Canis lupus familiaris: one gene and its partners. Each later gene encodes a partner of the first gene's protein in a complex. Links are inferred from orthologs where the notes say so. Each region holds a gene or a part of one and is shown in the gene's direction. Other genes may lie near its edges. The genes, in order: MTOR, RHEB, FKBP3, RPTOR and DEPTOR.

The links.
Region 2: the proteins of MTOR (region 1) and RHEB are in contact, whole or in part, in a cryo-EM structure (PDB 6BCU), measured with the Homo sapiens proteins. The link is inferred for Canis lupus familiaris from reciprocal best matches to the Homo sapiens genes MTOR and RHEB. Residues at the interface, in NP_001373429.1 of Homo sapiens: Arg62, His69, Glu73, Ala101, Thr102, Ile104, Gly105, Arg106, Asn109, Tyr110, Arg112, Asn113, Phe140, Glu143, Tyr144, Phe147, Glu154, Arg160, Thr969, Gln973, Phe977, Lys980, Glu1010, Phe1011, Gln1014, Met1018, Ser1050, Thr1051, Asn1264, Lys1293; in NP_005605.1 of Homo sapiens: Lys5, Ser6, Arg7, Lys8, Arg15, Pro37, Ile39, Glu40, Thr42, Gln57, Ala62, Asp65, Tyr67, Ile69, Gln72, Thr73, Ser75, Ile76, Asp77, Asn79, Asp105, Met106, Val107, Gly108, Lys109, Val110, Ile112.
Region 3: the proteins of MTOR (region 1) and FKBP3 are in contact, whole or in part, in a crystal structure (PDB 5GPG), measured with the Homo sapiens proteins. The link is inferred for Canis lupus familiaris from reciprocal best matches to the Homo sapiens genes MTOR and FKBP3. Residues at the interface, in NP_001373429.1 of Homo sapiens: Glu2032, Tyr2038, Phe2039, Gly2040, Arg2042, Tyr2088, Val2094, Leu2097, Tyr2105, His2106, Arg2109; in NP_002004.1 of Homo sapiens: Lys160, Pro161, Leu162, Ser163, Lys170, Tyr198, Lys201, Gly202, Gln203, Pro204, Asp205, Ala206.
Region 4: the proteins of MTOR (region 1) and RPTOR are in contact, whole or in part, in a cryo-EM structure (PDB 6BCU), measured with the Homo sapiens proteins. The link is inferred for Canis lupus familiaris from reciprocal best matches to the Homo sapiens genes MTOR and RPTOR. Residues at the interface, in NP_001373429.1 of Homo sapiens: His597, Thr600, Pro632, Val644, Ser645, Gln646, Thr647, Ala648, Val649, Ala653, His686, Ala688, Gln689, Glu691, Met721, Asn722, Pro723, Ala724, Phe725, Met727, Pro728, Phe729, Arg731, Lys732, Leu734, Ile735, Leu738, Thr739, His743, Tyr771; in NP_065812.1 of Homo sapiens: Phe278, Lys282, Cys283, Ser285, Leu286, Pro288, Gln380, Ala381, Asp383, Leu384, Asp387, Glu411, Gln412, Thr414, Ala415, Val418, Trp419, Thr421, Met422, Arg427, Asn428, Glu431, Gln432, Lys973, Ile974, Asp979, Leu980, Glu981, Ser982, Lys986.
Region 5: the proteins of MTOR (region 1) and DEPTOR are in contact, whole or in part, in a cryo-EM structure (PDB 7PEC), measured with the Homo sapiens proteins. The link is inferred for Canis lupus familiaris from reciprocal best matches to the Homo sapiens genes MTOR and DEPTOR. Residues at the interface, in NP_001373429.1 of Homo sapiens: Met304, Gly305, Phe306, His1494, Cys1498, Trp1501, Gln1525, Asp1527, Ser1528, Glu1530, Glu1531, Cys1534, Met1535, Ile1536, Arg1538, Arg1547, Gln1554, Leu1556, Leu1559, Gln1562, Cys1563, Lys1566, Arg1683, Leu1685, Asp1686, His1687, Lys1710, Ile1711, Phe1714, Gln1715; in NP_073620.2 of Homo sapiens: Arg54, His56, Leu57, Lys58, Thr59, Tyr60, Pro61, Val101, Arg116, Lys119, Asp121, Gly122, Thr123, Phe124, Lys131, Ala132, Arg135, Arg138, Lys142, Glu177, Gly178, Glu179, Glu185, Cys304, Asn305, Lys307, Gly335, Asp336, Ala337, Val338.

What each region holds. Positions count from the first base shown.
Region 1 is NC_049223.1:84,312,761-84,318,571, forward strand, and holds part of MTOR (serine/threonine-protein kinase mTOR), read left to right. Parts: intron 1-649; coding exon 650-894; intron 895-1,959; coding exon 1,960-2,175; intron 2,176-2,515; coding exon 2,516-2,721; intron 2,722-5,000; coding exon 5,001-5,123; intron 5,124-5,726; coding exon 5,727-5,811. UniProt on the Homo sapiens protein: Serine/threonine protein kinase which is a central regulator of cellular metabolism, growth and survival in response to hormones, growth factors, nutrients, energy and stress signals.
Region 2 is NC_049237.1:16,170,252-16,176,062, reverse strand, and holds part of RHEB (GTP-binding protein Rheb), read left to right. Parts: intron 1-1,834; coding exon 1,835-1,917; intron 1,918-2,622; coding exon 2,623-2,679; intron 2,680-2,792; coding exon 2,793-2,840; intron 2,841-3,590; coding exon 3,591-3,672; intron 3,673-5,811. UniProt on the Homo sapiens protein: Small GTPase that acts as an allosteric activator of the canonical mTORC1 complex, an evolutionarily conserved central nutrient sensor that stimulates anabolic reactions and macromolecule biosynthesis to promote cellular biomass generation and growth.
Region 3 is NC_049229.1:22,776,990-22,782,800, reverse strand, and holds part of FKBP3 (peptidyl-prolyl cis-trans isomerase FKBP3), read left to right. Parts: intron 1-1,043; coding exon 1,044-1,145; intron 1,146-2,221; coding exon 2,222-2,329; intron 2,330-4,417; coding exon 4,418-4,553; intron 4,554-5,021; coding exon 5,022-5,089; intron 5,090-5,811. UniProt on the Homo sapiens protein: FK506- and rapamycin-binding proteins (FKBPs) constitute a family of receptors for the two immunosuppressants which inhibit T-cell proliferation by arresting two distinct cytoplasmic signal transmission pathways. PPIases accelerate the folding of proteins.
Region 4 is NC_049230.1:1,850,629-1,856,417, reverse strand, and holds the end of RPTOR (regulatory-associated protein of mTOR), read left to right. Parts: intron 1-698; coding exon 699-785; intron 786-1,631; coding exon 1,632-1,748; intron 1,749-2,059; coding exon 2,060-2,189; intron 2,190-2,811; coding exon 2,812-2,880; 3' UTR 2,881-4,112; coding exon of another isoform or gene 4,113-4,208; 3' UTR 4,209-4,372; downstream 4,373-5,789. Other genes in the region: translation initiation factor IF-2-like, read right to left, coding at 4,113-4,208, 4,501-4,784, 4,890-5,139. UniProt on the Homo sapiens protein: Component of the mechanistic target of rapamycin complex 1 (mTORC1), an evolutionarily conserved central nutrient sensor that stimulates anabolic reactions and macromolecule biosynthesis to promote cellular biomass generation and growth.
Region 5 is NC_049234.1:19,335,183-19,340,993, forward strand, and holds part of DEPTOR (DEP domain-containing mTOR-interacting protein), read left to right. Parts: intron 1-961; coding exon 962-1,147; intron 1,148-3,175; coding exon 3,176-3,310; intron 3,311-5,811. UniProt on the Homo sapiens protein: Negative regulator of the mTORC1 and mTORC2 complexes: inhibits the protein kinase activity of MTOR, thereby inactivating both complexes. DEPTOR inhibits mTORC1 and mTORC2 to induce autophagy.

The sequences.
Region 1 (5,811 bases):
GGTTGTCGAGGGGGTTAAGTGAAAGAATTGATGGAACAGTCACTCTGGTCTCTGGGTCTTGCACATAAGAAGTCCTCGAGCGATATTTGCAGGTGTTTATGTTACCATTGGGAAACTGCCTAGCTTTTCTCACTTGCATTCTCTTAAGCTATAAAGTAAGAATAATGTTCTCAGTTTGCTTCCCAGATTGTTTATTGAGCCTTGGTCTTCTGCAGTGTCTAGATTATATTTAGTAAGTCCTGGCAAAGACTAGAAATCTGTACATTGTTTGGAAATCTCTGACTAGGCCAAGAGAATTCAGGACATTTCTATTTTATAGTATCCTTTGTACTTTAAAGACCACGCAGGGGATCCCTGGGTGGTGCAGCGGTTTAGCGCCTGCCTTTGGCCCAGGGCGCAATCCTGGAGTCCCGGGATCGAGTCCCACGTCGGGCTCCCAGCATGGAGCCTGCTTCTCCCTCCTCCTGTGTCTCTGCCTCTCTCTCTCTCTCTCTCTACGTCTATCATAAATAAATAAATCTTTAAAAAAAAAAAAAACAAACCACGCAGTATGGGCCCAATCCCCTCTCTGACAAGGAGGGTTATTTCTTCTCAAGAACAGACAAACGTCTTGTGCAGCGCCGTAGGTACCTGATTTCCTTCCCCTTAGCCCTGCCCTCACTGCTGTGCTCTACGACCTGAGCCGTCAGATTCCGCAGCTGAAGAAGGACATCCAGGATGGGCTCCTGAAGATGCTGTCCCTGGTCCTGATGCACAAACCCCTCCGGCACCCGGGCATGCCCAAGGGCCTGGCCCACCAGCTAGCTTCCCCCGGCCTCACAGCCCTCCCCGAGGCCAGCGATGTGGGCAGCATTACTCTTGCCCTGCGAACTCTTGGCAGCTTTGAGTTTGAAGGTAAGGAATCACAGCCATTCTTGCCAAGATAGCGAGTGTTCCCGGGAACCCCAAGAAAAGAATGAGGGCTCCTAGAATTCCGGTGTCTTGCTGGGGATCCTGGAGACACCGGGAGCTGATCCTGTAGTGGCTCAGCCTCCAAGCTCTTTGCATGTATTGTTGATGCCTCTTCGTTTCTTTCTTCCATCCTGAGTTTGAGGGCAGATGGTGTTCAGGGAAATTATGCATTGATCAAGGAATTAATGCTTCAGAGATGAGAAGGTCAGAGATGGAGCCCCCCGAATCCCTCCCCTTGTCCATGAAGCTGAGATGGTATTTAATGCTTTAAAATGTTTAAGCTGGAGACTTTTAGGTGTTTCATTCCTATGGCAATGTGATTTTCAAGAGTGCTGTACTGTGTAGTTCTGTTTGGAGTTCTAAGCTGCAGATAAACCCACATCAGTGCCCTAGGGAGATTTATTCAGGAGAGAAAAAATGGGTACTTTTGAAATTTAAGATCATGTAGGTGGTATTGCTCAAGACTGCGGGGAAACAAGCAAGTACAAAAAGTCTGAACGTGCCATCTGAATGCTTACAGCCGTCTGTGGTTTCCCTCTTGTAGTTCGTCCCTTGCATTGATCAGCACCCAGGATAATTTATGTCTAATGAATAGAAAGTAGCTATATTTAAACCCAGCCTACATCAGACTCTCTTTTGGTATTCAAATCTGGGGACTAAAATAGACAAGGTAAATTTGGTCAAGAATTGTTCTTACTCTCTGGGAATATAAAAGTTTGGGTCAAAATAAAACAGAATCATTCATTCTTTGAAGGAAATAAAGAAAGGATTAAGATGGGGGGGTGGGAGGATGCCTTTTTTCTGTCTCTCAGCTCCTCCGCCTCCCTTCCGCCTCTGTGCTGACTGGAAACCCATTTGTTGCCTTTTTTTAAAGAGAAGAATTCTGGGTCAATATCTTGTGGAAAATTGAATTCGTAACCATGAAATGAAAAATGCAGCTAGCAAGTTGTAGACCTACCAACCAAAGCCGCAGCGTTTATTTTGTTTTCTCTCTGCCTCTGTATCCAGGCCACTCTCTGACCCAGTTTGTCCGCCACTGTGCGGATCATTTCCTAAACAGCGAGCACAAGGAGATCCGCATGGAAGCTGCCCGCACCTGCTCCCGCCTGCTCACGCCCTCCGTCCACCTCATCAGTGGCCACGCTCATGTGGTCAGCCAGACTGCAGTGCAAGTGGTGGCAGACGTGCTCAGCAAACTGCTTGTGGTTGGGATAACAGATCCTGGTACGGTTTATGAGACAGGAGCAGTCCGTGCGCCTGGGGCAGTTGGAATTAGCCAGTTTCATTGCATGGCTCTCTAGAGACTCAGCCTCAGCAAGCCGATGTCCAGCTGATGTCTCTGCCAGAGCATTAGGCTTGGCTACTCTACCCTACTGGTGTAAAAGGATCTGTCTTTAGTTCTGTTGTCTTTGCTCCTATGAGTAGAGGAAAAGCTGACAGGTTAGATGAGAGAAAGGTACATGGCATCCTCTCACTAGGCCAGAGGCAGTGGGTCAGAAACTGGGAAATGACCAGAGGGATGATGGCATTGAAGAGGCGTTCAAAGGCGAAATTGCTCTTGCAGACCCTGACATCCGCTACTGTGTCTTGGCGTCCCTGGATGAGCGCTTTGATGCACACCTGGCCCAGGCAGAGAATTTGCAGGCCCTGTTTGTGGCCCTGAACGACCAGGTGTTTGAGATCCGGGAGCTGGCCATCTGCACCGTGGGCCGGCTCAGTAGCATGAACCCGGCCTTCGTCATGCCTTTCCTGCGCAAGATGCTCATCCAGGTAATGGTGTGACCTAGAGGCAATGGGGAAGAGCCGTTTGGGGAAAGACAGATGAGGACAAGGAAGGGGAGAAAGATCGAGATACCTGACAAAAGCCCTGTTTGGCTCCAAGGGTCCATGTTTTCCCAGCTTCTTGGCAGCATGACCCCAGGGGGCCTCTTATCCCAGGCGAACGTCTTCTGCAGCTCTTTTCTTGTTCCTGGCAAGTCACCAGAGGTCCCACTCCTTGGCCCTCTCCACTCGGTCTGCTGCACATGGTGTCAGTTTTCCTAGCACCTCTCTGTCCTTCCACTCTCCTGCTCTTGCTGAGTCCAGGTCAGGCACAGAGGCCAGGTTTGGGAACAGTTCCAGCACTGCTTCTTGTAGTCATTGCCCTGGTCTGTGGTCCCTGGCTTTGGTTCATAAATCACGTCAGAGGCCAAACTAAGCTGCTGGACTAGAGTCAAAGATTGAGATTGACCTTGCTGCTCTGTCTATTAGGAATTTTTTTTTAAGTAGGCTCCACACTGAACGTGGGGCTCGAGCTCGCAACCCCAAGATCAAGAGCTGTATGCTCTACCGACTGAGCCAGCCAGGCGCCCCAGGATCTGAGCTAAAACCTGGCTCCCCAGTTTTTGTCTCCACCTACCCCATAAATTGTCTGGCCTCCTTGTGATTGGTGCATGGTCCAATCCTTCCTGCCTCGAGTTATTTCCACCCAGCTCTTCTGGGTCTCACTGTGGCTCACCCAGTCCTTTCCTGTCCCGACTCCACCCTGTCTCTACCTCCTCCTCTGCTTCCTGACCCACCCACATAAAGAACATAAACACAGAAAAATGATTAACACATGTAACTTTCATCCTAGAGAAACATTGTGTATTCACAATCCATCGAAGGTAAAGTGACTATTAAGTCATATTATTAGTCAATAAATTAGAGGATTAAATTATGTTGGAATCTGTTTCTTCAAGTATTGGCCAAATCCTGCTTTAAAGCATGATATAGAAATATCTCCTAATGAGAATATTAGCATGTTCGTTCAATCAATAGATGTTTGGACATCTACCACGTTCTAGGTGCTGCCGGGCCCTGGGAACATCCGTGAACAAGCCAGCCGTGGCCTGTGTCCTCAAGAAGGTTACAATAAACTGTTGGGCTATCAGGCCATCTCATTGTTCTGATTTTGGAGAATGTGAAGCACCGTTAAATGAATTTACCGTGTACTGAGCTTAGCCCTTGAAACTCCGAAGTTTTTAATTTTCCTTGTTTTCAAATGTGGATACACACCTTCCCAAGTCACCTTGCACATTTTCATGCCTTGGTAAGGGACATTGCCCAAATGTGCTTTAAGTGGCCTTTTCTGATGCCTGGATCATCAGAGTGGGCATTGGGTATTGTGAGGGCACAGTGATGCTCTCGGCTCTGGAAGTGAATTTGGGGATCTTTGATTTGGCCCTTGGTGCTCCAGAGATCTGTGCTCTCCTCGCAAATCCTGTTTCCTCCCTGCCAGCCATCTCCTGGCTCTTGTGGGTCCATTCTCAGCATCCCTCTCTCTCACTGCTGTCTTCTGTGACGGAGGAAAACAGACTGCCAGGGGATCCAGAAAGTTAGGATTATTAAATGAATAACCTAAGACAAAATATATTATTAAATCATAGACTCCTCTGGGTAGAGAGTTAGCATCTACTTTTCTCACGGTCCAGAGATTTCCTTCTGGCAACTTCAGCTCGCCAGAAATCTGTCTATATTAGGTTGTTTATATCTGTGTCACTATGAGTAGGACATGTTGATTTGCTGGTATTTTAAGGATGTCAGAACAAACATGTTATTCCTTTTCATTAAGGTCCAAGGGGATTTGATTGATAGAATCCCTCCTATTTGGGTTTATCTAGATGTCCCTGAAACCAATACTGAGTATTAATATTTCTTTCAACAGCGTAGCTGTTCTAACTGTTCTCTGGTCCTTTTGTCATTATTTATAGGCTCTTAGTGATTTGCTGCCCAAAGATTTTCATTCCTTGTTTCTGCAGACTCCTGCTCTCACTGTCCCTGTTGGTTTTCTTAGTTCCCTGTGCCGCACTGTGAAAGCCATGCTCCGGGACGACTATGGGACTGTGGGGGCGGGGACTGGTTTCCCACAGTCCTTCCCACTTTTGCTGTGTCCCCGACTGTTTGCCTCCGTGGAGTATTCAACGGCTACTTGATCCGCGGTCCAGTTCTGGTTCCTCCCTCTAGCTTCTTCTTCAACACACCGTTCCTCTCTAGAGCTCCCTCTACCGCCTGGGCTTTCTTCCCTACAGATTCTGACAGAGCTGGAGCACAGCGGTATTGGAAGAATCAAAGAGCAGAGTGCCCGCATGCTGGGGCACCTGGTCTCCAATGCCCCCCGGCTCATCCGCCCCTACATGGAGCCCATCCTGAAGGTAACTCATGGCAGCTGGAGACACTGGCACTTTCTCTCCAGGTCACCCTGTGTCACCTCCTTTGGGACAATGGAAGTGTTTCGATAGGTAGCATCTTCGGCCCCAGGCTCAGGGTCAAGGGCCACATGAAGCACTCTCAGTGGAAAATCAGCAAAAATCTCACCAGTTGACGGAAGGGCTCCCCTTATGAGAGATAAGATGCAGTGCTTCGGGCACATGATCAGATGCGCTTGGAAAGAAGTAGGTAGATAATGGGATAAAATAGTTCCCTCAAAGGGAAGAAAAAATGAGCTTTAAAGTCTGAATGTGTTAGAGGCATGTGAAATCTTTCAAAACGTAGGTGAATCTGGGCAAATGATCAGAGATACCATTTGAGGAGGCACAAGAAATGTTTTTAAATCATGGTGTTTCTCAGCTCTCTCATGTGTCTACGTGGGCTCACTATGGAGAAAAGTTTTAGAATCCACATTCTGTAGAAATCCTGGATTCATAAATAACAGTAATTAAGCTACAGTTGAAATGGTCTTTCGGGAATTTTACTTACGTAAAAGGTTTCTAGTAGATCCTGTTCTGCATTCATTTTATCATACCTTCTTTTCATAGGCTTTAATTTTGAAACTGAAAGATCCAGACCCTGATCCAAACCCAGGTGTGATCAACAATGTCTTGGCTACAATTGGAGAATTGG
Region 2 (5,811 bases), on another chromosome or scaffold:
GTAGCTTTATGGTTTCACCCAGCTGCGTCTACAATTGCTCTTTCTCAGAAAATATACTTTTTATCAGGATTCTTTACATTTATATGTTAATTTAGGATGGATCAGGGGAGACTTTGATAAGCTGCACGGTCTTGCTGAGGACCATGACTCACTGTTCTATTCACTCCATTTGATCTCTTGGGAGTATTTTAAGATTTTCCTCAGATGGATCGTACACTTTTCTTGAGTTTATTCCTAGGAATTTTTTCCTTTTTGGTTGCTCTTAGAGCTGGGGAAGCTTTCCCCGCATGATACTTTCTAACTAGCAGTGGTTTGCATCATGCCTCTGAAATATGATGACTCATTTCTTTACTTCCATGTTTTCTCTTCATGGAAAAGGTGATTTGAACTCGAGATCTACTGTAGCTCAGCTGGTGTGACTAAAATCATTTGGAATTTTGTTCTTAATCTGGGTAGAAAGACCTCTCATTCCATTAACAAAAATGTGTTCTCAAAAGAACTCAACTTAATGAAACTAATAAGGAAACTGATAATGAAAACAAAGGTTTTATTTTGCATGTGTAGTAGTGAGCTCTAAGATGTAGAAATGCTACCTTCTGATGAATGATTATTATTGATATCAAAGAGCTGATAGTAATACTTAATTTCTCTTTGATTTTTATTTTTTAAAGACACTTTGCTATGGTAGATAGTAATAATTTGGGGCAGTAATTCAGGGCACTCATAAGCATTAGTTGTAACCATACTGTGGAATTGCAAAGTTAATAGAGACAGTTACTTAATATAATGATGATGTGACCTGATTGTTTAGAATAGTGCTTGGGCTACATGGTATGTTGACAATTATATTTCTTTTTTATTTTTATTTTTTTAAGATTTTATTTATTTATGAGACACAGAGAGAAGCAGAGACATAGGCAGAGGGAGAAACAAGCTCCCCAAGGAGATCCCCCCCTCGCCCCCAGGATCACGCCCTGAGCCGAAGGCAGACCCTAAACCACTGAGCCACCCAGGAGTCCAACAATTATATTTCAAGGGAGAATAAAATGTTTCATACCAGGCTGTGGCATGTTATAAGGAACCGCACTGATAGTATTCCTTTTGTATACTTCAATAATTCTGTATCTGAAGCCGAGTTTTGAGTTTCCTAAAGCTGCTTTATGAAACTGGGTACTGATGTGTTATGTAATGTGTACCTTTGTTTTTAATACCTAACGTTGCTCAATAAATAACTGATTTGATCCCCAGAAGTCTGGGTACACTGACTTTACCTTTTTGATTCTGTCCTCTCTTCTTGCGCTCTCAAGTGCTGGGGGTAACCCACTAGTGACCAATAGACTGGCCCTTGGGCCATTGTGACTCACTTGCAGAGAATGGGTTTGGTAAGGATATAACAATTTCAGATAGGAGAATACAGATTTATGGAAAAAAACAGAAGCACTGGTGAATTTTCCATGAGATCTAAGGTTCTAGACTTAGAACCTTAAAAGAACTGCTATAGCTCTTCTCCTCCTATAAGATCACAGGACCTGTTGTCTTGTCATTCCTTCCATCCTCTTTCACCAGGAATTGCAGAAATTATCAGCCTTCTCCCCAAAGGTCTTAGAATAGCCAGTCATTTTCACATGTTGGCTGAAAACAATTATCAGCTCCAAACCAGCCTATACACTTAAGTCTTAAGTGTATAGGCTGTGTTTCTGGAAGAAAATGTAATCCACTTTTTGTTTACTTTGATCTCTTTGACCAGGTCATGTGTGAAGAACTTTGGGGTACAGATTGCTTGTTACGCTACATGAAGAATTTTACTCACATAGAATTATTTTTTCTCCCACAGGATGAATACTCCATCTTTCCTCAGACATACTCCATAGATATTAATGGTTATATTCTTGTGTATTCTGTTACATCAATCAAAAGGTAGGACTCCCTCCTCCTGCTTGCTTGAGTTTATTTGCTCCGCATGAAAGACACTCATTCTTTTTAAAGGACCGTGATGGAATTGGTTATAGTAACAATCTGACTTACCAAGCTAAATGTTTTTCATTATGTTGTCTTATGGAGCAAACAGGTTGTTAAGGGAAAAAAGATATCCCAGTAGATGCTCTCTTACACTGATTGAGTAAAAACTCTATTTCTTACCTCCAACTGCCTAGATAAATAGTGATTTGACATGATCTGAGCTTTTCTGCTAATGGAAATGGGAATTATATAAATTGATTTGCTTTTTGTGTGTTTTTCATCATATTAATATGGAACACGGGCTGACTGCTAGGGCCCTCTAGGTAAAGAACATTCTACAAATGTCTATTCAGAGATTAAAATTTGTGTTTATATGGTTTGTCAGCCAAGTGTTAGACTTTCCCATTTAATATTGCACCTATTTCATTTTGAATAGTCTTGGTAAGGTTTACTCAGTGTCAGATACATACACATGTGAAAAATGATTTGTAGGAAAAAATTAAGGAATTCTTTGTGTTCAGTTTTTTTTTTTTTCAGTTTATTTTATATTAAAATGGTAAGCCAGTGACATTATGTAGTTTTCCCACGAGAAACATTATGTAACAAACATTTAAAAACACCAACACTAAGATGGATGTCTGATTTCATGCTTCTCTTTTACAGTTTTGAAGTGATTAAAGTTATTCATGGCAAATTGTTGGACATGGTGGGGAAAGTGCAGTAAGTAGTAATAGTTTCTCTTTTGTTAGATATGCTCATTATACTTGTGTCTTCTGAACAATGAGATCTGGCACTGACTAGTTACCTTTGGCTTTTTTGTCTTACATTACTAGAATACCTATTATGTTGGTTGGGAATAAGAAAGACCTACATATGGAAAGGTATGTAACTTCTGAATAATTACTGATTTATAAAATCAAGTCTGAAATGGTCTAGGCACTGCAGTATCTTTTGTAATTATTCTCATGGTGAGACTATTCTTAGATGTAACATGTCTATGTTCAGAAATGTGGTGGTGATTGTTGTACCCAAGCAGAAGCAAAACTGCAATATAAAACCTCACCCACCCTGACAAGTGTTTCCTCTAGAAAAGAGGGAGCAAATGTGGTAGGAAATTATCTTCTGACATTTTGTGTAAAGTGGCCTAAAGAGATCACAGAGGCACTCATATATTCAACAAACAGTTTCTGAGTCCCGTGGTGAGGATTAGATACTTGAGCGGGAGCAAAGCCCTTGCTGCTGTGGAGTCCTGGCTGGAGAGGAGGATGCACAGCAACATTGGGCCGAGGGCCCCTTCACAACTGTCTGGTCCTCAGGTGCTGACAACCCCCACCCCACACTATGAAACAGTCTGTGTCACAGTGTGCTGGAAGCACAGTTGTGTTCTCCGAGCTGAGGGCCTGCCGCAGCATGGGTAACGCCATAAGGACACATCTGTCCCGTTCCCCAACCCAGCCCTTGTTAAAGTGCCCCTCTGTGGTCCACGCTGGATGATAATATTGAGCAGAGAGCATTTCTCTGCTTTGCAAGGAAAAAAAATGATAAAAGTGGAGCCTGGTTCACTAATATTTACAGATGTTTTCCTAAAAAGAGAGTACAGTCCTTTAATTAGAATTTTCTTTTTCCTCTAGGGTGATCAGTTATGAAGAAGGGAAAGCGTTAGCAGAGTCTTGGAACGCCGCTTTTTTGGAATCTTCTGCTAAAGAAAATCAGGTACGTATTGTGTAGAACTCCTCTTGTGCTGCCTCCGTCAGCTCTGGGCCTGTGTACCCTTAGGCAGCCGTGCCCCACCTGCTCCACCTCATCTGTGTCCTTCTGTCCCACCTCACCTATGTCCTTCCTTCCACCATCTCAGAGTTGGCCTTTGAGTTGCCATCAAGATCCTGCTTACAATGGGATCTGGAATATTTGTAGGATAAACAGAAGTTGGGAGTAAAGGAAATGCTGCTTTGTGAACGTATATTATTATTTTTGTTTGTATTAAAGGCTGGCACAGAAATAAGTCCAGGCATAGAAAAGAAAGGAGAATGATCTTCCATCACTTTGGCAATAGTTCTGTGCCGGCACCAAAGCCCCTTTTCTCTGTAGGATGAAACGGATGCCATATATATATTGTTTGTACCATTGAAACTATTAAGAACCATGTTGCAGGCATCTGTGCCCACGTCAGCCCTGCAGATGTTCCTGCAAGAGCACCGCCCGGGAAGGCTGTTGGCTTTATCTGTGGAGGCCTCACATGGCCAGCCTCCCCTCCTGCCTCTGTCTTCTCTCTCCTGTTTCTGCACTGCCACTAAACTCGTTAAAGCTGCGCATCAGATGGCATTACCCTCTGCTAGGACTGTCGGTGGGTTGCCTGTTGTCTAGAGAACAGGCTCAAAGCCCTTAGCAACATGGAGGTCGGGCGACACTGGTGCTCATCCCGCCGCCTTCCCCACTGGGGGCACTGGCCGAGTGTGCCCTCCCCTCAGGCCACCTCCAGCCTCAGCTATCCTCTCTCTGACTCACCACTTATATCCGTGTAGTGCTTTACAGTCTTTAAAGTATTTTCCACATATTCTCTTGTTTGATCCTCAAATCAGAGTAGCTGGTATTCAAGTGTGTGAGGAAACTGTTCAGTCAGGGTGACTGGTACCTTCTGGGTAAGGATTGAGGCCCACTCTCCCCACCTCAGCCACTTTTCCCCTGGCTCTCAAGGTCCTTTTCTCTCATCCTCTCATCCCCCTCAATTCATCCCAAAATCCAAGATATGTCATTTACCTCTGTTCTCCATAATGTCCTGCATGGCAGATGCTATGGGCATGCCTGTCTGCCAGGTTCTCAGTCAACCCAGGTACCCCTTGGCAGTCACATCCCTTTGTCCCTGGGTTCAGATAATAATGAGGAATATTGGGCAGCCCTGGTGGCACAGCGGTTTAGCACCACCTACAGCCCAGGGCCTGATCCTGGAGACCCGGGATTGAGTCCCACTTTGGGCTCCCTGCATGGAGCCTGCTTCTCCCTCTGCCTCTCTCTCTCTCTCTCACTCTGTATCTCTCATGAGTAAATAAAATAAAATAAAATCTTTTAAACATAATAATAATAATGAGGAATATTAAATCTGTGTGATTGGTTCCCGTGTGCCAGGTCACAAGAGATTCGTGTGACTCTGCTCAGCTTCTGAGTTCAGGTAGTAAGAATTCAGATACCAAGAGTTGAGAGAGTAAGAAATATCTTCATTTCCTAATGGAATTAAATCAAACATTTATTGGGTGTCTAATCTGTCCTTAAGATCATTCAGTTGCACTGTCTCATTTTGAAAGTGCGTTTGAGATCCAAAGAGAGAAGTAAAGGAGTTTTATATAAGATCACTCGGTTTATGTGGCATAAGAACTAGGACTGAAGTTTATATCTAACCTCTATTTGGTGCGCTGTTCTCTACACCATGTTTTCCAGTGGGTGGGAAGGGAAGGCCTCGTGCATGACTGAAGCATAATAAAGCATTCTGGGGAAGGGTACAGACTGGATTACAGTCTGTGTGTTAACTTTGATTGGAATCTGGTTCTGAAAACCCTAGTATAAAAGACATTTTTGGTCTATTGGAGAGATTTTATTATGTTCTGCATATATTAGTAAAATGTTAATTTCCTTTGAGGAAGTGATAATATTGGAATCATGAGGAAAATATCTGTATTCTTAGGAAATGCAGACCAAAGTATTTAGGGGTCAAGTTTCATAATATCTGTGACTTACTTTCAAATGGGGGTAGATGGGTGAATGGACCGGGAGAAGGCAAGCAGATACAGCAGAGAGGTTCACATTTGTTGACTGTAGATAGTGGCACTACATGATTATTGTACAGTTCCTTCCATTTTT
Region 3 (5,811 bases), on another chromosome or scaffold:
ATTTAGAACATTTGTCTAATTGAGGGAGAGGAAAAGCAGAGGAGAAAAAAAAATACAGTAGTGATTTGTTAGAAAAGCTGTTTTATCAAAAAGATAGGTGCCAGGGGCCAGCTTTATGAAGATAACAAAAATGAGGAATCAAGGACCAGAAGGCAGAAAAGGAAGCAGAAAAAAATAAGAAGAAGACATTTTTCAAATCCCCACATTACATGATTTTGAGATGATGTTACATTTTGATAACTCGATATTTCAGAAGTAGTATTTTGGTGTCAATTTGCCAACTTGGTTTTAACTGTTTTTGCTGATTTTATTTAAGAGAAGTGGGATTCTGTTACTTTGAATTATGAAGTACATTGTTATTAGTCCTAACAACTAATATTTATTGAGTTCTCACCATGCAATAGACTGTAATATGAAAGGCATTAAATGGATTATTGTGTTTATCCTTAAAACCATTCTCTGAGATAGATGCTGTTATTATTCTTCCACTATGATATGGAAACTAAGTTTTTAGGAAAGCTTGTCCTTTGACTAAGATCAGATAGCTAGGATTTTGATTCAGGTGGTCTAACTCCTCAGCCCGCACACTTAACCACCATATATCCAGCATTTTGTAACAGTGCTTCCCAGTCTGTCAAGAATGGGTTACACATTTGTCAAGATAGCTATGCCTAACATGGTTAAAGGGTCCCATGGCCATGGCCAAGTAACATCCTGCCAGTACCAGCATCATCCAGTTACCAAAGTGTGCTTGCTATATAAATGTTCTGTGAGTTCTGTAATGGGAAGAGCATTAGTATGCAACAGTGTGACTCCTATGTAATATTATAGTTCCAGTCTTGTCAATAATCTTTATAGTGTATTTTTTAAATCTTCCTTCGATCTTTTTTGTTATGAAGTAGGGCAGAAAATATATTTATTTTTTCCATCAGTAGTAGTTTTATTAACGATACAATTGTTCACATAAGAGGTCATTTTCTAAAGTTTAGACCCTTATTACATGAGGGAGATTATTTTGACTAACCAGCTTTTTTTCCTTATAGTTTCTTGCAGAACATAAGTTATTAGGAAACATTAAAAATGTGGCCAAGACAGCTAACAAGGACCATTTGGTTACAGCCTACAACCATCTTTTTGAAAGTAAGGTGAGTATTATTACATCATATTACCAGAATATTGGTTTAGATATTTGTGTTTGAGAAAAGAACTTTTAAATTTATTTGCAGAATTTATTTAATTTTTTCCACCTGGAGTTTTTCCTAACTATAAGTGGACTATCAAATCTAGCAAAGCTAATCTGCAGTATAGCAGGATATTATGTTTTTGAAAGGAACCAAATTTTAAAAAATAATTCCCAGGATACCTTGGTGGCTCAGTAGGTTGAGCATCAGACTCTTGATTTCGGCTCAGGTGGTGATCTCAGGGTCTGGACATCAAACCCTGCACTGGGCTACCTGTTCTTTGGAGAATCTGCTTGAGACTCTTTTCCTCTGCCCCTCCCCACACTCGCATGTGTCTGTGCTCACTCTCTCTCAAAGAAATTTAAAAAAAATAGTAATTCCCTGTAGCTTAAATTAAAACAACAAAAGGGCTACCAAAAAGTTAAGACTCCAAAGTAAATTCTATTTCATTAATGAATTTTGAATCTTAGATTTAGGCTGAGCCTTTAGAAAACCAAATTTTTAAAAAATTCTCCAATATTTGTTCACTATGAAATAACTATCTTCCACAACAGAGTCTTTATTAAGGAATTATGTGATAGTATTCATATCTGAGTCTTGAGTTGGCCTTTCTAAATCTTTTTCCTTTTTAAGTATTTATTTATTCGTTTTAAAGAGAGAGAGCACAAGTGAGGGGAGACCGAGAGAATCCCAGACTCCCCATGAGCATGGAGCCCAACATGGGGCTGAATGCCAAGACCCTGAAGTCATGACCGTAGCTGAAACCAAGAGTCAAACACCCAATGCCACTGAGTTGTCCTTTCTAAAGATCCCTTTTGAGCATTTATATTATGAGATGCTTTGAGGTTCATAATTTGTTGATTAAAATGCTTAACATAAGATTTTTCCTTTGTTCTTAGTTTCCATTTATTTGTATTTGAGTTACATAGCCTATATTCAAATGCAGGTGTTCATTAAATTGAAAAGTTGAAAATCTAGATATCCCTTCTAGTCTTTAGCCTGTCCCGAATATGGTAAACATTAGAACATTTTCCTTGCAGCGTTTCAAAGGTACTGAAAGTATAAGTAAAGTGTCTGAGCAGGTGAAAAATGTGAAGCTTAATGAAGATAAACCCAAAGAAACCAAGTGTGAAGAGACTCTGGATGAGGTTTGTATGTAATATTATTTTATTTCTCATGTGAATTTGAGGAAAGTTTATAGCACTGATTTCTCATAATAAGGGGTGGTTGAGTATGACTACTTTGAGTGAGCCAAACACTGATTTGGGGTGTGTTATCTCCCTTAGGTGTACTGAATCAGGGAAGAAAAAAAAAGAAAAACATGTAAGAACCAGTGCTTTATGGTTAATAAGCTTTTTCTATAAAATACCTCTAGCTTTGTATTTTATATTTCCTCTATGTCTGACTAGAACTCCTGAGCTTCCAAAGCCATTTTAAGTCCTGCTTCTATAGCCAAGTTTGACTGAGTGAAAGCCGTTTCACTGTGATTATTTTTAGCTTTTTCTAATGTACATGGTATCCTTGGCAATAGAAATAGTCCAGGCTTGGCAACAGGGTGTGGAGTCTTCTGTCTCATCTTTCCCAACATAGGTCTTACATTTTGGTACAAAGGTTTGAAGAACTAGATAAAACCATTTCTGCAAAGGGACAGCCTCAGTAGAGCCAAGGACAGCAGTTAGAACAGCCACAAAAGAGCTAAATTGATAATAATCTTGCCCACTTCTGATAATATCTTGCTAATAACTAAGCTATAACTCCTTCCTAACAGTCTTAGTATCAGTGATAATAATTTGATTCTTTAGGTCTTATGAAGACATGTCACCTAATGATGAAGTACTATAGCATTTGGATATTTGTAGATAGAGTGTAAGTTCAAGTATACAATTATAGAAGTTTATATACCTAAAGCTAGTTAGTTCACAGGATACTCTCTTGGTTGAAAAACAGAATTTCATGTTCATGGATATATACACACAATAAAGCAATTTTGAGGTTTATCATGTCTAATATTATTTGATAAATGTTATATGTACTGGGAAGATATTCAGCAGCTACTAAGGTAAGTAAAGGTATAATAATTATTGAAGGATTGCAAAAGCAATTGGCAAAATAGTTTACCTTCCAGAAAATTACAATAAAAAGGTATGAGGCAGCAGATTGTGTATCATTATGAGGTTAAGAAAAAAAGAGTTATGGGGTGCCTGGGTGGCTCAGATGGTTGGGCATCTGCCTTCGGCTCAGATCATAATCTCCAAGTGCTGGGATCAACCCCCATGTCAGGCTTCCAGCTCAGCAGGGAGTCTGCTTCTTCCTCTCCCTCTTCCTCTTCACACATAAATAGTATGTGTGATAAACTGAAATGTAAATATCAGTAATAAACTGATACTTAAAGTACAGCAAAAAAAACCCTGCTTTTCTTACCTATATGAATTACCACCTATTAGCCTTTAGCATTCTTTAAAAAACTGATAATCCTGCTTTGTTTTAGGAAATATGCCTGTTAGAGTAATTTCTATAGATAATTCTGTTCCTCGTGTGAACTTACTTTCAAGTTCAGAAACAAATGGAGTATTACTATATTCGTTCTAATTGGATATAGTAAAAATATTTAGTAATGTCTAGTATTGGTGCTAAACAACTCAAATCTTTGGGGAAAAAAAAGTCACAATGCGTTATTTAATGCCTTATGATTTTATAGGAATTAAATAGTAATTATATTTCTAACCTTGGAAAGTAATAGGATTTATTTTATCATTTGTTGAATAACAATTTTGTCAAAAGAACATTGGTTTCCAAAGTAGCTAGAAGTTACTTGAAATTAAATTATAGAGGGACACCTGAGTGGCTCAGTGGTTGGGCGTCTGCCTTCGGCCCAGGGCATGATCCTGGAGTCCCAGGATAGAGTCCCACATCAGGCTCCCTGCATGGAGCCTGCTTCTCTCTCTGCCTCTGTCTCTGCCTCTGTGTGTATCTCTCTTGAATGAATAAATCAAATATTAAAAAAAAAAAAAAGAAATTAAATTATAGATAGGCTACTTACTAATATTCTCACCACAGACAACAATTAGATGAATTTTTTTAACTCAGAGGTGAACCAGAGGCAACAGAGTTAACCAAATCTGTGAAACTCTGTGCCGAGACTTGGTTCACAGTTGGCTGTATAAGAATTCTCTTTGTCGTCCACCATAGAAGGATGTGAGTTACTAACTCTATGTATTGTTTTTGTTTGTTTTTAGGGTCCACCAAAATATACAAAATCTGTCCTTAAAAAAGGAGATAAAACCAACTTTCCCAAAAAGGGAGATGTTGTTCACTGCTGGTATACAGGAACACTACAGGATGGGACTGTTTTTGATACTAATATTCAAACCAGTAAGTGTAAATGTAATCCTATCTTTTTAGCTTTAAGGCATTGCAAAATATTTGTGTGGTACATGAACAGTTGGTTATACCTTTCTCTTGGCTGTCAATTTTTTCCAAAAGTCCTTTGCACCTGTGATTATTGGCCGGGGGGAATAAATCTTGGTTGTTGGGAAGCCAAAAAAAAAAAGCTTAGTCTAAACTTCGTTAATGTCCTATAGTTGAGGCTTTTGTATTTAACATAAAAGGCAGAATAGTGTGGTGTTTTAGTAGTGTAAACATAGGTCTTTACCCTCTTCCTGCTTTGGGGACCATAACTATTTTTACATACAGAATTGTCTTGATGAGTTAACTTTCTGAATTTTTATTTCTTTTCAAATGCATAATATGGTAAGTTCTAAAATCAGTTTAAAGACAAATCACTGTTTTTCCACTGGAACTTAATTTCATCATGCATTATAAGGAAAATTTGTTTTACAGGTTCAAAGAAGAAGAAAAATGCCAAGCCTTTAAGTTTTAAGGTTGGAATAGGCAAAGTTATCCGAGGAGTAAGTAAAAAATGGCAATGAATCAATAGATATTCTGGTACATGCTGTATCTGCTATGGTATCATAAGTAGGATTTGGGATATGATGAAAACATTTGTCTTTGGATTCTGACAAATCAGGTGCTATCACTGTTAACTGATCTGACACAAGTTTTCTGGGTTTCAGATATGGACAACAGTACATTCTTCCTCAGGGTTGCTAAACAATTAAATGAGCATGACTACAGTATATAATGTAATAGAGGCTCAAATATTTTCTTCATGCCTACCCCTCTTTATTTTTTCATCATAAAGTAATTCATCAGAAAGTTTGGCTTTCTAAATTTATGTTTTAAGATTTTTTTTTTTTAATTTTTATTTACTTATGATAGAGAGAGAGAGGCAGAGACATAGGCAGAGGGAGAAGCAGGCTCCATGCACCGGGAGCCTGATGTGGAATTCGATCCCGGGTCTCCAGGATCGCGCCCTGGGCCAAAGGCAGGCGCCAAACCGCTGCACCAACCAGAGATCCCTGTTTTAAGATTCTTAAAAAATGTCACATAGTTGTTTTATCACTTACACACAATTGAGAAAGGTAAAAGATCCATTTCACTGCAGTACCTTATAGAAGCAGAAGTTTGTTCTGGGCCTTTTCACTTCTCACAACCAAGGTTCAAAAACCAGAAAAACTTTTCACACATAAGCATGCTTTTTTACCTGCCTTTACATGTGAGAGATAATAGA
Region 4 (5,789 bases), on another chromosome or scaffold:
ACGGGGCAGGCTGTTGGCTGCAGAGGCCCTGGTGCCGGGACAAGCCGGCCAGGTCAGGGCTGGTCTGCAGGTGCAGCCCCGAGGCTGGAGCGGTGCCGGGTGGGCCCGCACGCACCCTGCAGGTTCTCCCTAGAAGGGTCCCCGCGGGGGAGTGGGGCTTCTCTCCGGGCTGCTGGAAATACCCCCCGCGGCCGCGAGCACACGGAAACCCACTGCCCCTGCGCTTTTAAAGTGTGGATTTATGGTACATGAGTTTTATCTCCATCAGACTGTCAGTTTAAAAAGCTACCCCGAGCAGGCAGTAAAGTCACAAATTGACCCGAAAAGAGCCAAGGATGATGGAGTGGCTCCGAGGGTGCAGCTGGGGACCCCCAGAGCCCACGCCTCCTCCTGATGCTGAGGGCAGTGACGCTGGGCACCTGTGCACCCCAGCTGTGACCTGGGGCTCGCTGTTGGAGGGCGGGGGGCTCTAGGGCAGCAGCGCTGTGCTCCCAGGGGCCTGCTGGCGTCCGGGCATCACGTGAATGGTGGGCGCAGGAGACCCTGACCCCTGTAAAGGAACAGCGGGTTTCCCTGGCTCAAGAGAAGTCACACCCTCGGCAAGCCTGGCCCCCCCCCCCCCCCCCCCCCCCCCCCCGCCTCCCCTTCCCCTCCCCTGGGCAGCCCCCCAGGCTTTGACCCTGCCTCCTCCCCTCCAGCCGCGTCATGACGTACCGGGAGCACACGGCCTGGGTGGTGAAGGCCTACCTCCAGAAGCACCCCGAGGGCCACATCATGAGCGTGAGGTAACGAGCACGAAATATTTATGAGACGTTTTGCTGTAAAAACAGTATTTTCTCCTCCATTTAAAATATGTCCCTGGTATTTAAACAGCTGGGAAAGGGTGGCATTTCCGGGCAGTAATCAACCTCCGCTCTGGGACCGGCCGGAAAGCTCAGGGCCGGTGGGAGGGCAGGGACACACTGGGCCTCCAGCTGCAGAGCCGTGCCCGCTGGCGACGGGAGGCTTGCTCCGTGGGGGCTGGCGGGGTGTGCCCGGGAGCCGGTGGGCCTCTTCCGGCCCTTTGCTGCGGGATCTCTGCGTGGAGTAGCCGTCTGCCCGTAAATTCATTTCTGCTGCCCGGTAAATCCCGTGCTGAGAGCAGCGAATATTTATTTGCCCGTTAAAGGGACAGCAAAATGTGATTTACTGTCACAGAGCCACCATTGCTCCAAGAGGTGCTCTCGGCCTTGTTCGGAGTATTAAAGCAGAACATAGCTCTCGGCACGACACCCGCCGGAGCCCGAGGGCGGGAAGGAGGGGCTCCAGGGGCCACGTGCCGCCCCGCGGCCTCCCCGCCTCCCTGCCCCCCCTCCCATCCCTTAACTGCATCCCTGGCTGCACGAAATCTAATCTCCGGGACTGGAAATGAAACCCATAACTCACACACACACACACACACACACACACACCCCCCGTGTCTTTGCTTACGCTGCTCCGCGCCTGGGCCGCAGGGCCTGGTCGGGCTCTGGTGGGGAGTCTGGGGCTCGGGGCCGGTGGGGCGGGCTCATGCTCGGCCTCAGGGGCCAGCCGGCCTTGGCCTTGAGCAGTGCGTGTGCACACGGGCCCCGACGGTGACCCTTTCCCGGCAGTGTCAACGGGGACGTGCGTTTCTTCGACCCTCGGATGCCAGAGTCTGTGAACGTCCTTCAGATCGTGAAGGGGCTCACGGCCCTCGACATCCACCCCCAGGCAAACCTGATCGCCTGGTAGGTACCAACCCTGAGGGAAAATGAGAGGCCTCTCCTGGCCCGACCCTCTCAGAGCACCACAGTCAGCCAGAGCACCACAGTCAGCCTCGGGCCTCCATGTAAACAGCCGGCGCCGTCCCCCATGCCTGGGAAGCAGTGCTCTTTGGAGCCACATTATTGTGGGGACCCTCGTGCCTGGGTGATGGGCGGCCAGGGCAGCCCGGTGTCTGGGACGGTGCCGTGTGGGGGGAGGGGCCACCGCCCAGCTTCTCTGCCCTGCCCTGCTTCCGCCCCGGCGGGAGGCTAACCCCGGACCTCCTTGTGCGCAGCGGCTCCATGAATCAGTTCACGGCCATCTACAGCGGGAACGGGGAGCTCATCAACCACATCAAGTACTACGACGGGTTCATGGGCCAGCGCGTCGGGGCCATCAGCTGCCTGGCCTTCCACCCGCACTGGGTCTGTGTTCCCACACCCGGGGCTCGGGGCACTCGGGGCGGGGGGACAGGGGACAGAGGGGGCATGCGGGCAGGTGGGACTGCAGCCGGGCCCGCCCCACACCACCTTGTCCCATGTCCAAGAAGGTTGAGAAACAGGATCTTGTCAGGGCATAGGGTCTCCAGGGGTCACGGCCCCCAAACTGCCTCTAAAAGCAGCACCACATTCCTGCATCAGGCAGGGCGTCGTGGGCTGCACAGACATGAGGCAGCCCACTCTTCGTCACCTTTGGGCCTGCACTGATGCCGCCCCTGCAGAAGCCTCGCAGTGAGGAGGGTGCTGGGCATCCTCACCCAGCCCGTGGGCCCCGGGGAGGAGCAGCCCAGATCTGTGCTCATCCCTTACGGCCGCTCCACGAGTCTGTGGGCTCCGCCAGAGGCCCCCAGGCAGTGTGGGGCTCTCAGCCTGGACGCACGGCGCTGGGTTCGCAGAACCATCCCCACAGGGAGCCGTGAGGGCCCCGCATCCCTGTGGCAGGCTGTGGGGCCTCTGCCGAGAGCCGCAGCGGGGTGGGGATGAGGAAGCTGCACCGCGCCCTCCCGCCCGCCCGCCTGCCCGCTCACCTGCCCTGCTCTCCTCGCAGCCTCACCTGGCCGTGGGCAGCAACGACTACTACATCTCCGTGTACTCCGTGGAGAAGCGTGCCAGATAGCAGGCGCCCCCCCACCCCCCCACCAGGCCTCCGTGTACATACTGGATCCACCGCACCACCCTGAACACTGGTCCTGACCTGCTGCCAGGGGCTCCCGGAGGCCCCTCGCTGTCTGTCTGTCCGTCCGTCTGTGGTCACTGTCATGCCCAGGAGCCCAGGGAAGGGGCCTCTGGTGGAGTCCTGCTGTGTGACAGCCCAAGGACCGTCGCAGACATCCCAGCACCCTTCCCGTCCTGTTTTGCTTCTGAGATTTTTAAAGGGGGAAACGCACTGGTTCTGTTTTGCGAGGACCCAGCATTGACTCCAGGAAAGCTCCGAGACGGAAGCCGGCTCCCCGGGGCTCAGCCACCCCGGCGGATGGGGGAGCTCTGGGGCTCATCGCGGGTCTCTGGGCCGGGCATCCCCCTGGCTGCAAGCCACACGCTCCGGGGGGGCATTTCCAAGCAGGCTGGGAGGGGGCATATTCAAGAGAGCCGTACATGTGGAAGGAGAGAGCCCGAGCCTCCCGCCAACCCCCAGTCCTCGCCCACTGGGGGCCTTCACGGCCAGACGGTGTGAGGCTGGGCACCGCTCCTCCGCCACGCAGCCCACCCCCTGGCACGGGCCCCTCTCACCACAGACCCGCTAGCAGGAGGGGCCTGTGGCTTTGGACAGGTGAGGCAGGTCCTTGGTGATCCGGCCACCACTGGGCCACGGGGCCTGTTTGTCTCTAGTGCTGCCCCTGGGCAGGTGCAGTGACAGCCACCTGGGCCTGTGGCCTCCCACACGGGTGTACACGTGTGCGCAGGGCCCACGGTCTCCACACCCGAGCCCGCACATGCGTGTCCACGTGTGGCCCCGTGGCCTCCCTGCCGGCACGTGCATCACACACGTGATGCCCCCCAGCAGGGGGCGGCTGGGGACCCAGGGGCGTCTGTGGTAAACAGTGGCCCGTGTTTGCCGCCACTCGCTGGTGCAGCAGAAGTGTGTATCTTGCAATGAGTAACGCAGAAGTCTCGTGGTGGTCGCTTCAGGGTGTGCCCGGGCGTCTGCACGTCTGCACACATGGGTGTGCGCGTGTCCTCACAGCCCGTGCAGACCTCAGGGCCATGGGGACCGTTTCCCCACGAAGGACAGCCGCGGTGTGCTGACCGATGACAGCGCTTGTAAAACAAAACCCCAATGATGAGATTCTGAAAAGCATTTTTCCATTTTCCTTGGGAATCACGGTTACCGTGGAAGAGTGAGCTGGCTTAACCACCCCGCCGCCAGCGGCCTCGCCGGAAGGAGGGCCCCTGCCCGGGACGACCCCCTGCAGCGGGCCCGGGGCGGGCGGGGCGCGGGCCGGTCTAACCGGGGCCCACGCGAAAATCCAATCATGGAGTTAACCGGGGCTCCACAGAGCACGCCCTGAAGGTTCGTTTATCTCTATTTATTTTACCAAATGAGAATTGCGGAGTGAAAGCGCGAGCGATCGGCAACTGTTCATGACAATAAACAAGTGCAGAGGTGACCGGCTGCGGCCTGGTGGCTCGGCCCGGGGGCGGGGGCGGGGGCGGGGCCTTCTGTGGGAGGGGCATGGAGGGCTGGCGCCGCGGGGGTGGGGGAGACCTGGGTGTGCCCCGGTCGCCCGAGGCCTGCTTGACCTCCACTCCAGCAGGGCGGGGCGCACCCCAGGTCCGGGGGCGGGCGCAGGGGCACAGGGGTGCAGTGCGGGGAGGCTCCAGCGCCCTCGTGTCGCCCCGCGGCCAGCACAGACCAGGGGCCACCTGAGTCCCAGGACGCAAGGTCCCCATCCCTGCCGCGCGGGCTTCCCGGAGGAAGCGCTGGTTGGCTCCCGGGGTGAGGGGTTCTGGGGGGATCGTGTGCGTCCTTGTTCTGGAAGGAGGCTCGGGACAGGGTCCCCAGGGCAGCCGGCAGGTGGGCTGCAGCAAGAGGCAGGCAGGTAAGAAAGGGGCCAGGTCACGGGAGCAGCACCATGGGTCCCCAGATCGATGACACCCCCGTGCAGCGGGACCCCCAAACCGTACCCGGTCTGGAGACGCCAGGCAAGGCCGCTGCAGCAGGATCCCAGGGGACACTCCATTTCCCCCTTTCCCAGCTTCCAGGAGCTGCCGGCGTCCAGGCTCCGGGCCCGTGTCCCGTGTCCCCGTGGCTCTGACGCTGACCCTCCGCCTCCTCTTCCACTGTGAAGGCCCAGGGGTGTGGGGGCGGGGGGACAGTCTCCAACACCCCGAAGCCCAGTGCCCTGGAGGCACGGCTGGAGCAGGACTCGGACATCCTTAGGGGCTTTAATCCGCCCACTGCTCCCTCTGTCTACAAGGCAGGGGCCCCTCTGGCCAGAGGAGGGGGCGGCGGCGGGAATGGGAAGGAAAGCGTCTATGCTGCCACGGTGGGGAGAAGGGGTCGGGAGGGGCAGAGGCTGCACCTGCTGTGCTGGGGGGCGTCGCCATGGAAACCCGGGGCCTGAGCACTGCAGCTCCGGCTCCCCGCGGTGACGTCCGTGTTGTGCAGGAAGGACACCCAGCCCCCCCCCCCCCCCCCCCCCCCCCGCGCCCGTGCTTCCCCACAGAAAGTATCTTCCTACCAACAGACGAAAAGTAATATTTTCCGGCTCCAAGACTTGCATGCAAAGCCGGTGCTCACGGACACGCTCCCACAGGCAGAGGTGGCCACCGGGGGCGCCAGGGGCCCTGCAGTCGACTCGCCCCCAGCCCCAGTCCGGCGGCAGGGCAGGGAGGGCTGCGGCCTCCGGGTGGGCGTCAGGTGGGGTCGTCCTGCGGGGCCCCCTGGGGAGGCCCCATCCTGCTGGGGGCCTCCGAGGAGCGTCCCCTGGGCTGTCCTCACCGGGTGCTGACTGCGCCCGTCAGCACACCCAGGTGCAGAGGCCCCCGCCGGGTGCCCAGGCCGCCGCCACCTGTCCCCGCGGG
Region 5 (5,811 bases), on another chromosome or scaffold:
GTTGTTAACCTAACTCAACAAATGTGAGTTGAATAAATGGATAAATGACTGAACAACAAAAAATTGTGATGATATCATTCAGAATAAAGGAAAGGCTTTACATGAAATATACTTAGTTTTAGGAAAAACTAGATGCATTGTCCTTAATACTCCAATTTCCCATACCCCCAGAAAACTCTTCACATACTATGAAACTACCCCTTGGTTTAGGGAGAATTGTTGTGTAGACTAGCCACTAACTAGTTTAAAGTTAGCAGTGTTCTGGACATGCTGCTTATCCATCTGACTACCCATCACTGAATATTCACTGCCAGTCTTTTACTAGGCACCTACACTGAGCCAAACACATGGTAGTCTAGGGTTCCAGGATGCCAGAATGATGAAGACGCAGTCTGAGCCTTTAAGCAGAGTGACTTAGCTGGGAGAAAGAGATGAGCTCTCCCCACCACCAAAACAAACAGATATATGGTCTCTATTATTTTTGCAGCTCTCTGTGAGTCTATAATTATTTCAAAATCAAAAGTTAAAAAATGAATGGACATATGGTCATGGGAGTAGCACTTTGCTGGGCATGGGGACACATGACGACATGAAACCATGAAACAATGAAACCCAGAGAGCCAGAGTTGAGTGGACAAAGGTAGAGAAGTGAACAGACAATGTGGGTACAGTATGGTAAGTGATCAGCTGGAGGTTAAATAGTGGCTCAGACAACACGAGGAAAAGTATGGCTTAGATTGGGGGTGAGGTCAGGCAAAGCAGCCCCAGGGGAACTGGTTAGCCAATTTTTAAAGTACATGGCACGTGGAAAGAATTTGGAATGGTGTGTGGACTACAAGCTCATGTGGCATCTGTAGAATTAAACTCTGTAGACTTTTGCCCCTATTGGATGGAGACTTCTGGCTGCAGTGCTCAGTGGCCAGGATGCCAGGCATGCTCATCTGTTGTGTCTCCACTGCAGTGTCCAACAAGCACCCATTTGTGGACAGCAACCTTCTCTACCAGTTCAGAATGAACTTCCGGCGGAGGCGCAGACTGATGGAGCTGCTCAATGAAAAATCTCCCTCCTCTCAGGAAACTCACGACAGCCCCTTCTGCCTGAGGAAGCAGAGCCATGACAATCGGAAATCTACCAGTTTTATGTCCGGTATGTCAGTTCCATTGTGTATCCAACCACTTGCATTTGTCTTCTGAGAAATAGTATAGTAATAACTCACCTTTGTGGAATGCTGTTCTCCAGCCCATTTTTATTTATTCATAACCCACCAGTATGAAAAAAAAAAAAAACCCAGCATGACCAAATTGTTCCTGGGCAGTCAATTTAGATGTCATGAAGACCGTCTTATAAAATTATGTCTTTGCATGATAGAAGGCTTCTTAAGTTCTCACTTTACCTTATTTACTTTTCATTTGTAAACAGTTCTTATATATCATTAATGATCCCGTTTTCTAAATCACAGCACTGAAAAGCTGTATGTTTTAATGGTGAGTAAAGACTTTTGAGGGCATATACAAGAAAAAGGCAATTAACTGATTGCCCATCCGTCATGAAGGGGTGATCCAGAGCAAAGAAAACTTGTGAAAAGCAAACACAGGAGCTCATAAAACCTAGGGTGTCACATGGAAGGTCAAATAGTCCTATTTTTACAATGATCCCTGACAGAAATGATGCTGACGGATGTTCACAAAGATAGCCCTACTCATCCAGAAAAAGTTAACTTGATGTCCCTTCTGTATAAGAAGCAGAGGTGCTCCAAGGGGTATCTTCAACTCCTCTGAAAATTTGGCATTGACCCAAGGAACTGGCTGGCCTCAGGTCTGGAAATTTGGGGTTTCACCTGAAACTCAGGGCACAGCGAGAATGTGTGTCTTGGTTATTTACAGCAGGTGGCAGTGAGAACACTCGTAGCTATATTGAGACTTTTCTGCACCCCTGGCCCTGAGCTAAGCTTGCTTGCATGAGTTTTCTTATTTAAATCTCACTATATCCTAAGAGGAAGGACTTTTCTTATCCTCATTTTATGGGTGGAGAAACTGAGACATGGATCAATGGAGGGGCTGACCCAAGGTCAGCCTAGACTTACACCAGTTCTGTATTAATTCCAATGCTTATGTTATATTGTCTCTACCCTGATCCCCCTCATCAGACACATCTAGGGTGGAAGAAAGAATGAAGCAAGAGCCCCTCAGGCAAAGTAAGCACTTACAGACGGTCAGGAGCCCAGCCTGTGCTCAGATACACACCAGTAGTGTGTCACCGTAGAGCTGTGGTCTTCTGCAAATGCAGAGTAACTGTTCATGTTCTTTCTAGCCCTGAGGCCTGCCTGTTTCTTGTGGGCACGAGAGACCCAAAAAGTGACAATGATGACAGGGATAGAGTGGCTGTGGTCACTATAAAAGCCAGCATTTACTTTGTGCTTCCCATGTTCCAGGCACTAAGCGGGTACTCTCCACGGCTTCCTTCATTTGGCCATACACCTTCTTCTCCTCTCCTTGTCGAGAGCCACTGACTCTGCAGGCAAAGAGGACCAGGTCAGAGCACTAAACTGCTGCCTCACATACACTGTCAGAGCTAAATATGTGTTATTATGTTCTAATCTCCTTCGTCCGTGGCTCTGGGTAGCTAGTGACATCATATTAAAATCAGGAGGCACTTATTATTACTGTTAATCCATTAAGTGTAGAGCCAGCAGTTGATTTATATCCTTCCTGGAACTGCTCAGCGCGGGCTCAACCGCTCTTGAAATAACCTTTTATGTGCCTGAGTACATCCCCTTACAGTATATGGCCCACTCCTCGTACCAGCCCCCTGAGATCACATTATTCCCACTTCACAGCTGGGGAAGTGGAGGCTGGGAGGCCTGTGCCTGAGTACGTGCCTGTACATTATATACACTACTCCCCCGACCAGCCCTGTGAGATCGCATTATTCCCACTTCACAGCTGGGGAAGTGGAGGCTCCGAGACCTGAAGCAAAGTGCCTGAGGTTGTGCCATCAGTGAGTGGCAGGTTGCCCTTCAAATTCTTGCTTCTCTGACTCAGAGGCCGGGTGCGTTTTCCTGGCGTGTGTGACTCGCCTGCCTCTATCTTGTGGCGGAAAGCCCACATGCTCCAGGGAACCAAAGCCACCATCCTCACGACCTTGTGTGTGTGTATGTGTTTCTGGCCCACGCAGTCAGCCCCAGCAAGGAGATCAAGATTGTGTCTGCGGTGCGGAGGAGCAGCATGAGCAGCTGCGGCAGCAGTGGCTACTTCAGCAGCAGCCCCACGCTCAGCAGCAGCCCCCCTGTGCTCTGCAACCCCAAGTCCGGTGAGTGACCAAAAGGCAGCCCCCATTTCTTTCTTTTTTTTTTTTTAATTTTTATTTATTTATGATAGTCACACAGAGAGAGAGAGAGGGAGAGGCAGAGACACAGGCAGAGGGAGAAGCAGGCTCCATGCACCGGGAGCCCGACGTGGGATTCGATCCCGGGTCTCCAGGATCGCGCCCTGGGCCAAAGGCAGGCGCCAAACCGCTGCGCCACCCAGGGATCCCGGCAGCCCCCATTTCTGACCATGACTGGGCAGAGGTGCAGGCTGGGTGGGTTCCTTGGGCAGCAGATTCTCTGATGGGGGTGGGGGAGGTAGGGGCAACTAATACGTGGCAGTGTTGTTATGGCTACTCTGGGGGCCAACACCTGTTGAACGCAAGGGAAGCACGTAGGTTTGGGCAGAGGGAGAATCAGGCTGCCCCACTACCCCTGAAGGGAGCTCTGGAGTCGGGGTGGCCCTTCAGAGTTGTCCCAACTGGTGGCTGAGGTGGCCAGGCCTTTCAGCCCTCCTGTTGACCAGTTGTTAGGTGTTGGCTGCCCCTGGGAGGAGGGCATGACCTTAGGTAAGGCAGCTCTCTTCAGAGGTGGTTCCAAAGACAGTTGAAGGTATCAGCAGTTAGCAACTGGGAGAAGCCCCTCAGTTCTGAAGAGGGATTGAGCAGGTGCAAAGACCTTTTGGGTTCCCATATCTCCCAAAGAAGAGGCACAGATCTGTGCAAACCCAACTCTCTCTGAAATTGAATCTTGGTGCCTTGCAGTTTCAAATCCTCCTAATCAACCTCTGTGGCCTTTACGTTCAAAAACAAAAAACAAAAAACAAAAACAAACAAACAAACAAAAAAACAAAAAGGCTAGGCACAAAGACTGTTGATGAGCTTGTGCTTAGAAACAGTTCTTCCTTGACCCAATCAATTCTTCAGCCTGTGGGAACTCATCACTCACGGATCCTACTAGCTCCTCACTGCTCCTTACCTACCTCTCCCAAGATTCGATTGCATGGTCCATCATGAAAATAATGATTGCTTTGAAAACACCCTCACTCCCTTCATTTAGTGCTCTGTCCACCCTTAGTCTAGTCTATCACCTTCAGGGAAGGGGCTTTGTTCCTTTGGCTCATGCTGTGCCCTCCTCACTGCACTTGGGGATACAAAGATGAAAGGTTGTGATTCCTTCCCTTGGTGAAAATATCATCTCTCTGTGGGGAGAACATGCTAGTGAGACTAAGGGCAAATAGATGTTCAAAGGGCTTTAAAAGAAAATTATTATCTAAGACCATTATCTAGGAAAGTGAGTATTTCACTTATTTTAACATTTTTCTGCTACCTTCTGGAGGTTTAGCTGGAAGAATAAAATCATAACCTGCAACATATGAATGAAGAAACTTGCTTCCACACTGACTCTAGCTGGAAAATCATTGAGCACCCATATGCAACTGGGTTTTTCAATTCATGGAACACTGCTGTTAAGGTATAATGAGAAAGGAGAACTGTATTCTTAGAAATAGGCTCTTTGAAACCCCGATGGAAATCTGACAGGTGTCCCTAAAGTTAGAAGCAGAAGGGTGCAGTGTTAGGAAAGGGCCAGCTATGCTAAAGCCACTTTCCTTCTTTTTTTTTTTTTTTTTTTTTTGAAAGGAACTTAACTTTTTATTTTTTTATTTTTTTTTATTTTTTATTTTTTATTGGTGTTCAATTTACTAACATACAGAATAACCCCCAGTGCCCGTCACCCATTCACTCCCACCCCCCGCCCTCCTCCCCTTCCACCACCCCTAGTTCGTTTCCCAGAGTTAGCAGTCTTTACGTTCTGTCTCCCTTTCTGATATTTCCCACACATTTCTTCTCCCTTCCCTTATATTCCCTTTCACTATTATTTATATTCCCCAAATGAATGAGAACATATAATGTTTGTCCTTCTCCGACTGGCTTATTTCACTCAGCATAATACCCTCCAGTTCCATCCACGTTGAAGCAAATGGTGGGTATTTGTCATTTCTAATAGCTGAGTAATATTCCATTGTATACAATGGAATATTACTTTCCTTCTTTTGATTGCATACAATGGTAGAAAAAGAACAAAGTGTTAATTACGTAAATGAGCTACGCATCCACCTTTACTGAGGTGGGTTTTGCATCCTTTCCTCTTTCTCCTTGCCTATAGGCTCAAAGGGAAAAGTTTGCTGATAAAGCAGGCATCAAGGAAAGGTCAGGTTGCCTTTTTTGGGTCTCAACTGTGGTTGCCTCAATTGTCTTAATCGTGGTTTGTAAATCCTAGGTCTTACCCATATTCTGACAAGCTTCTCCCTCACTCTTGTGGGAGGGTTCCCAGAGGGCGGTGAGCTCATGTGTGATTTTTTTTTTCTCAAGCAGATAAGTAGGCCTTCTCAGTAAGGCACTTAAAATTAATCATTATATTTACATCGGATATATTTTTAGTACTGTGAATAAATGTCCTAAGCCAGACCAAAAAAAAAAAAAAAAAAAAAGCTACAGATATTAGC